2 linked regions of the Bombyx mori genome follow. Each later gene encodes a partner of the first gene's protein in a complex. Links are inferred from orthologs where the notes say so. Each region holds a gene or a part of one and is shown on either strand. Other genes may lie near its edges.

Region 1 (4,292 bases):
TTCCTTTTATAGTTTTACCTGTAGCTTAAAATAACTAATAAAATTAACATCCTTATTCAACATATTATTTTTCTACTTAGCTAGTGCAATAAATACTATCAATCTATATTATACTATAAATGCTATCAAATAACACAATCAATTCAAGTTGCGGGTCTTATTACAATGGTATTGTATAATATCATCAGAGTGTGAACATGTATCATCGATTTTCTATTATTGCAGTTTCTTTTTTTCTTCCTACCTATTCTAGTAACTACATGGGGTTATACTAGATTCGCCGAGTGAGTAGTTGAGTTCACGGGGCTCTAACCTTTTTGTTTCGGTACTGGGGCCGAACCTCTTAGAAGGTACCCGCGCCTAGGGGGCGCCCGGGGTATGTGGGACTTGACGATCTGCAAGGTGTTTGGAGCAGTGTGCGGGCCCAAAGAATTGTAGGGCCCTAATGTACTAAACGACTCCCCTGCAGTCTTATACCCGACGTCTGATCTCCGTCCGGGGTCAGAACCTAGTCAGAGTAAGGGGTTCCCGCGGTCAACACTACAACTAGACACGCGGCGCCACCCCGAGGACGCCCGACCGACGGGTCGTCGAGCCGATAGTCGACGACCAACGACGCCTGTCTCCGCGGTACGGAGGCCCTACCAGACCGCCCGGGCGATGTCGCTGGTGTTCCGGGATACTCAGCTGGGCCAGAACCAGCCTGCCGGATCGGAACGTGATACACCGCTGACCGGTTTGCTCTTCCACAGTAGGTTTGAAGTCGTCGTGGCCTTAGGGATAGACGTCCGGTGCATTCGTGTTGAGCGATGCACCGGTGTTCAAGTCAATTCAATTTTTTTTCAATTTTCAATTTTTCTAATGAAATACGTACTCAACAAATATTCACGATTGACTTCCACGGTGAAGGAATAACAACGTGTAATAAAAATCAAACCCGCAAAATTATAATTTTTTCTTATCCTCTCGGCTCGTTTTTACATCTCATGACCGGCAAGAACAGATCGCGCAAAAACTAAAAAAAATTACCTCCAAATGCTTAGACCTTAGCTTTTCTGCAGTCAATTTTGGTTTGTTAACAAACAAACTAACCTTAAGAATGATAAAATTGTCAAAATATATTTTTTTGTAAGACCAAAAAAATTTAAGAATTTTCCACCTAGCTTTCTTTGAAGGTCAATTTTAGCCAAAGTAGCCCGTTAAGCTTTTTTTTATTGATTATGAAAGCTAAGAGTCTAGCGCATTTTTTAAAGTTACTTAGAAACTTATTTAATCACCTGTTTAGATTTTTTATTTAAAGTTGAAAATGTAAGTCTAATTCACAGACCGTAAATTTTTCTTTTTAACCCAAAATCTTTGCAACTTCCATAAAAGTTACGAAGCTGATTATTTTATGTGTAAAAGAACAACTTGTAGAATTAGTTGCAAATTAGAGAATATAAGATAAATTAGAGAATTAGTTGCAAAAAAAGTCTCGAAAAATCTAATTTTTTTTTTATTTTAAGTGGGCCATGTCGAAAATTCTCCAAAATTAGAAAAAAATTCATAACTCGAAAACTATCAAATATCGCGGAACATACATGGGGGTGATTCGGATACCTCACAACACGAGGGAACTAAATATTTTTTTGGACATCAATGTTCTGGCCACTCTTTATATTATAACTATATCTATACATATATCTCAAGGTGGGTGGCGCATTTACGTCGTAGATGTTTATGGGCTCCAGTAACCACTTAACACCATGTGGGCCCGGGCCACGACAAAAGTATAGTCTGCGTAGCAAACTACCCTCAGATTCGGGAGAGGAGCACGAAGGGCGCCCCGCAGGACCCAGTCGTAGCCGATGTTTCACGAGAGAGGGCCAAGGACCGACCCCTGTGGAACATCGCACTCGACACCATCAAAGCAAAGCACCATCCCACCGTACCCGGTGCACACGACTCACAAATACACATTAGGCTACCACAACTTCAATAAAAGTACACTGAGTGTCTTACTGATAAAACCAATGGCACCTTCATAGTTGACACTATCTTATGTAAAAATCGTTATCTAAAGCCCAAATAACAATTTAATTTTCATCTGATGAAAATACATAAATATTTTGAAACAACATATAATTTCATTAGTTTTTTACCAAAAGCTGTTGAAAATTTTGACTCAATTGGATAAATTAAACATAATCAGACCGAACGAGTAGAACCAAGAAATATTTGATTTATTTTAAAAATATCACTCATTGTTCAAACTATACGATTTGATCTCATTACATTTCAATATAATAATGGAACCTACTATCCTTCATTGACCAGCAGAGAATGCTTTCCTTAGACGTGAAGTCCACCACTGTACCCTTGATGATGTATGAATAAATTAATATTTATATTTACATTTCATCCAAGAGATTTTGGAATTTTTCTCGAGCCAATTCCATAAGTGCATCAACTTCTTCTTTGCTTCTCTTAAAGTTTTCTATGCTGAATGCATAAACAGTTACCTCAGGTATTCCTAAATCAAGGCACCACTGAAAACAGAATGTGTGAACTAATTTAAATTTATCAAACCTTTTAGTATTCTAAAATATTCTTAAATAATATTTTATTAAAAACTTAAAATTAACTTAGACTAACTAAGCAATAAAATACATTAAATATTTTTTTGCACCTTTAAGGTTTCAGAAAGCTTGTCAAAACCTTTATGATGACCAGTACTCTTGTCGACACTATTTTTTTTCGCGTAACGTCTGTTTCCATCCATTATGAATGCTATGTGTTGGGGTACTCGGCCGGTCTTTATTACTTTGATACAAAATAGTTGGAAAAATGATACACAGTTTTCTTTTATCCACAAAGACATCGTTAAAGAATTCACCAAAGCGAATATCGGTGTACATAAACGTAAAAATAATACGGTACGCGAAAACCACAACTTTAGCTTAGTATACAATATACAAATATACAATGTAGTTGAATGTAGCTTAGAAATACAGATATATGTTAATTTACACTTTATTCAACGTCAACCATCCACCAAACCATAGCTTATAAACTTGACATATTAAGTGTTTAATGTATGTATAAGCGTATAATCTATGCACTGCTAAAGTGTTCTATACACGTTCCATCTTGCTGTACGTCCCGCCAAAGCCATGCACGATCCACGATGCAAAAGTACCAAGAATAGGCTTAACGTACGTCGATAATCATTGTCGATATTAATTGTTTGCTGGATTTACACGATCAATTTTGCATCCAGCGAGCGCCCCCAGCACTGCGAACGTCGTGCAGATAGACAGTGAATAACGTGGACGTACATCAGAGCGGTCCTGCGTCGTGCGTGCTTGATCGTGTATAGACTTGTTGTACAGCAGATTTAACATATAAAGCTTGTTTCGAGAGGAGACTGCACGTCCCATTCCGACAGGAGCCCTCTTCTTCGATATAGCGAAGGCGTTCGACAAAGTCTGGCACAACGGTTTGATATACAAACTGTATAACATGGGAGTGCCAGACAGACTCGTGCTCATCATACGAGACTACTTGTCGAACCGTTCGTTCCAATATCGAGTCGAGGGAACGCGTTCCCGGCCCCGTCACGTCACAGCCGGAGTCCCGCAAGGCTCCGCTCTCTCCCCGTTACTATTTAGTTTGTATATCAACGATATACCCCGGTCTCCGGAGACCCATCTGGCGCTCTTCGCCGATGACACCGCCATCTACTACTCGTGTAGGAAGAAGGCGTTGCTTCATCGACGACTTCAGACCGCGGCTACCACCATGGGACAGTGGTTCCGGAAGTGGCGCATCGACATTAACCCCACGAAAAGCACAGCGGTGCTCTTCAAAAGGGGTCGCCCTCCGAACACCACGCTGAGCATCCCCCTCCCGACTAGGCGCGTCAATACCCCCGCCCCCGCCGTTCGCCCAATCACGATGTTCGACCAGCCCATACCGTGGGCCCCGAAGGTCAAATATTTAGGCGTCACCCTCGACAGTAGGATGACATTCCGCCCCCACATCAAGACGGTACGCGATCGTGCCGCCTTCATTCTAGGACGTCTCTACCCGATGATATGTAGGCGAAGTAAAATGTCCCTTAGAAATAAGGTGACACTCTACAAAACTTGCATACGCCCCGTCATGACCTATGCAAGTGTAGTGTTCGCTCACGCGGCCCGCACTCACTTAAAGTCATTCCAAATTATTCAATCCCGTTTTTGCAGGATAGCCGTCGGAGCCCCGTGGTTCGTCAGGAACGTCGACCTCCATGACGACCTGGACTTAGAGTC
Region 2 (4,266 bases), on another chromosome or scaffold:
ATATTGTGTATAGTATTTTAGTGTGCAACAATCAATGATCCATCGCGTTATTCCAATAAAGTTTTTTTGAATCTATATTGATAAATTTCGTTTCTTTGTCCTTTCTGTGCATGATGGTATAAAAATGTTATAAAAGCAAAAAAAAAACAAGTTTTACCAATGTAACCTGTTTATTGATGTTTGCAATGCCCTACTAATATTACATTAAAAATACCAATGATAAATAACTACAAAACTGAAGAATAAGATAAAATGAAAGTATCACTGATCTCATCATTAATTACACTTATATTTCAATTTAAATTTTCATTTCAATCTAAAAACAAAATATCATTTTTCCTGAACTATTTGAAGGAAATCCTTACAAAAAATTAATTAGAGTTAACCTCTAATCAAACCAATAACCTAATCAGTGGTGAATTTATTAAAATTTAGTATTTACAATAAAAACAGTATTTAACTATTACACCACAAATATAAACTGCTACAGCATTTCCTTGAGTCATATGAGTCAAGCATAACTATATTGAATAATATGCACTTGAATATTTGATGATACAAAAGATAGAAACATGCCAAAATCATGTTGTGCTGTTACCTAATTAATAATTCTGTTTTAAATGTAAAGGAAATTAAAATCTGTTTTATCAGCGATGCATAAATTATTTTCATCGACAGAATTAAATTTTCATATACTTCAAAATATAACACCATGTCAAATACAGGCACATACCTACCTAATTTTAATATAATTTGATATATAGGAAATATACTATAATATGTAGACCATGTTACTTTGGTAAATTATCAAACAAGTTCTTGGCACTCATTTTTAAAAATCTCATTCTTGTGTTTATGAATTTCGCCTATTTACAAATACATTCAATATTTGACTGTTGTAAAATAAATTAAAATAATAAATTTACTTAGGCCTAGTATTGAATTTAATTTACTATCACTTCCAAGTTACGTTCCAAATCTTTGATCGCATTTACTATATTTATACATAGCACCTACAAAGCTTTCAACACTTAAATTATAGTCAACTGATAAACTTATGAACTCTGTAAGTCTTATTTGCCATGGCAATAAACCATGTGTACAACAAACTGGACCTGAAAATAATGCTAAATCAGGATCTGGAATGGAAGGGTATACTGCTGATATCACATCATCAAATTCTTGTGCGGTAATTTGGTCACTTTTTCTATTATATGGAATTTTTTCCTCACACATTTCTTTGATACATTGTGTAATTGTGGAACGTCCGTTCTGACAAGAAAAAATATTCACAACAATTTTATGTGCAGGAATGCCATTTGTATACCCATTCAAATCAGGTTTCTTTGACCATTTTATACACCCCGGAACACCTTTCTTGTTCTTCTCAACTGCATTAAAAAGTTTTTCTTCTTGATATGAAAGTTGACCTGCAAAGTTTTATTAATAAAGATTTCAAACTTATATTTTGTTTATTCAATAATACAGAGGATCTCTGATGTTTCAGCCTCAGTCTAATTTAGGTCCTGCTGTAATCCGATATACTATAACATATTACAGAATTATTTAAAAAATCTGTTATTTTGTGTCAGAGGTTATAGCTGTGTATGTCATTTATCAGCTTACATGGTACTGTTTTCAAAATAGTTCCAGACTACTGGAGACTAGACAGTACTCTATAATCCAACAAATTCAATTATCTGACAGTGGGTATTGAAACATTAGTCAAATTATGCAGATCAACTCTAAATTAGAAAATATTGTAATTAAGAGCTGAGAATTAATTTAGTGTTAATTTATTTTTTTATTATGTTGCATTAAATAAATATTTTTATTGAGAAAAGAAGTGCTATTCTTACAAGTCTAAATTTCTATACTAAAATAGATTCTTATCACAAAATCGACAAAATCCTGGGTTGGGTTTTATGAATTTCCAAGTGGTTAACAATAATATTTAATTTATTTTTTATATTGTAGTGTAAATTCATATTTTAACTCACCTGATACATCATAAAAACTTAAAAACGGTATTCCGGCTACTAAACTCCATATCACCATTCGAGCCAAATCATCTATTGAATGGTAATCGCTATCAGATAAAACAACTAAATGCTTTGGTTGTTTACTGAGTTTCGGTATATGCTTCACTATTAGCTTTAAATCAGTTTTTGTCACCTCATAGTCTTGTAAACTGTGCTTTTTAAGCCAATATCTGCAATAGACATTCTGAGCACCAACAATAAAATTTAAAATCAAATGTAGCAAAGCAAACAAGAACTGTCGAAGCAATCGTGACAGCATAATTCACATTAAATTATTATCCGCGACGTATGTAACGATAGTATTATTTTATTTCAACATTTTCGAGATAATATGAACTGAAAACTTTATATCTTTACTATATGATCACACGGCCTAGTCCATAGATTATACACTTAATATATTAGACAGCCGCTTTTCAAGAGCAGCCAATCACGAGCTTAAGAGTGGACAGTATGCAATGTTTACCAACGTTCAAAAATGAATTTACAGATTAGAGGAACTTTTTATATGACATTTCCACGCGGTTTTGCGTCACAGTTTGCTTGCGCTAGTGGTCAGCAGCTATCGATAGCGAAAGTCTATCGATGATTAGTACATGAATGTTAGGTTTTTTACTCAGATAAGTGAACCCTAGTATTAAGTGGTTACCAAAGCCCATAAACATCATAGTGTTAATTCCACCAGCCACCTTGCACCAGAATTAAGCAGAATATCGCGACGCTCCCTTGCCCGCAAGAACCCGTTAGGTAGCGTACTCGCAAAAGGTATCAATAGAATCTCCGCATATATTTTATAAATGTAGTGTGTTCTTTTTATAATGCTATTGCTGTTATTATTTTTTATTGTTATTGCTTCGTAGTGGAAGTCGTTTATGGATATGTTCCAACTTTTAGTTCGTATTTCTTTTCGCCCGTTTTCAATAACCTATCTGAGATTACCGATAGATAGCTATCTGCGCTTATCAGTAAGAGCGTATCTATTTTTAGCTTGCGTTTCACAATCACGGATATCTATCTTTAACCAACAGAGGATAGCTTCTTCCTTCTGATCTATCCGAGCCTCTTCATACGTTTCGTTCTACTGCAAATATGAAACAACATCAGGTTCAATACTTATTTTATTTTAGTCTAAATCATAACTGTAATTTAACCATCATATCGTATCGTATGTCGTATCACTCTTGTCAGAGCGGTCGTGGTCGTCATCCAGTATCATTGGTGTGGGCAGATGTTATGTGAGCAATCATATCGTAGACCATCATAAATTCATTTGTTTTTAATAACAATTAATAAAAACATATCGACGCTTGAAAGGCTAACGTGACTAAGCGACAATGCGTGAACTTTACTGTAGACTAATTTAAAGTCGAAATACCTGAAAAAAATCTATATTAACGAATCTAGCTGTAGGATTGAAATTATTTTAATAGACCTAGAAATATATTTTTTTTGCGCATCGAATATGGTTATTGCCTATCATTTATGTATAAAGCGGCTATTGTCGCTTAGTCACGTTTGCCTTTCAAGCGTCGATATGTATATTTTTTTAAATTGGACGTATTGTTATTTTTATACTAGTCGAAGTTATGAAACGAAACGTTTTGACCGCCCGTTTGCCAATGAGCAGTGGTCAGTTTCTTTTGTTTGTTTTTCTGTTGGTTTTCTGTTACTCGATAGTGAATTGCCTCCAAAACGCTTTAAAATTTTCGTTTATAATTTTAAGTATATAATGTGTATAATAATAATTTAATTGATATAGAGCTACAGTGAAATAAAATAAATTTTGTCAGTATCTATAAATTACATTGATAACTTTTTTTTGTGTTCAAGTTTTGAAAGATATATTTTTCAGTCAAGAAAGGCAATTCGGACGTTCTTTATTTTCTTTTAACCATATGATATCGGCTTCACTATCACTATCTGCATCACAATCTATCATCATTTGAAATAATTCCAAATCACTATCATCAATACTACAAGATGCCATTATGAAGAGAAACACTAATTAAATTATAGCTATTTAATTTCAAAAGGTAAACATGTAATCGGCCGATTTTGACAGATAAGCGGATGCCCTTACTAGAGATAACGCCGCCTATCGGAGAGTTACTTAAAACTCATATTGAAACGGGAGTAAACACGATTTGTATGAGCGTTCTATCTTTAGTAGGCTATCCGTCCTTGGGACGGTCGTTAGGAGCTAAGGATCTGTATTACATAAAGT

What was found.
Region 2: the proteins of Dhdds (region 1) and dehydrodolichyl diphosphate synthase complex subunit Nus1 are in contact, whole or in part, in a crystal structure (PDB 7PAX), measured with the Homo sapiens proteins. The link is inferred for Bombyx mori from reciprocal best matches to the Homo sapiens genes DHDDS and NUS1. Residues at the interface, in NP_995583.1 of Homo sapiens: Arg37, Arg38, Glu81, Asn82, Lys84, Arg85, Arg159, His160, Ile162, Ser163, Val166, Arg167, Met169, Ala170, Trp171, Val173, Glu174, Pro180, Ser181, Ile183, Ser184, Glu185, Leu188, His199, Glu209, Val210, Arg211, Leu212, Ser213, Asp214; in NP_612468.1 of Homo sapiens: His137, Gln138, Pro193, Glu194, Lys197, Ala198, Ile200, Val201, Ala204, Gln205, Phe207, Cys208, Gln209, Val211, Ala212, Arg217, Pro218, Thr219, Leu221, Asp222, Val223, Leu226, Asp237, Pro246, Val247, Asp248, Ser249, Thr250, Leu251, Gly252.

The regions. Positions count from the first base shown.
Region 1 is NC_085119.1:4,398,528-4,402,819, forward strand, and holds the start of Dhdds (dehydrodolichyl diphosphate synthase), read right to left. Parts: upstream 3,110-4,292; 5' UTR 2,861-3,109; coding exon 2,669-2,860; intron 2,529-2,668; coding exon 2,395-2,528; intron 1-2,394. UniProt on the Homo sapiens protein: With NUS1, forms the dehydrodolichyl diphosphate synthase (DDS) complex, an essential component of the dolichol monophosphate (Dol-P) biosynthetic machinery.
Region 2 is NC_085129.1:11,412,565-11,416,830, reverse strand, and holds dehydrodolichyl diphosphate synthase complex subunit Nus1, read right to left. Parts: upstream 2,933-4,266; 5' UTR 2,302-2,932; coding exon 2,001-2,301; intron 1,431-2,000; coding exon 967-1,430; 3' UTR 152-966; downstream 1-151. UniProt on the Homo sapiens protein: With DHDDS, forms the dehydrodolichyl diphosphate synthase (DDS) complex, an essential component of the dolichol monophosphate (Dol-P) biosynthetic machinery.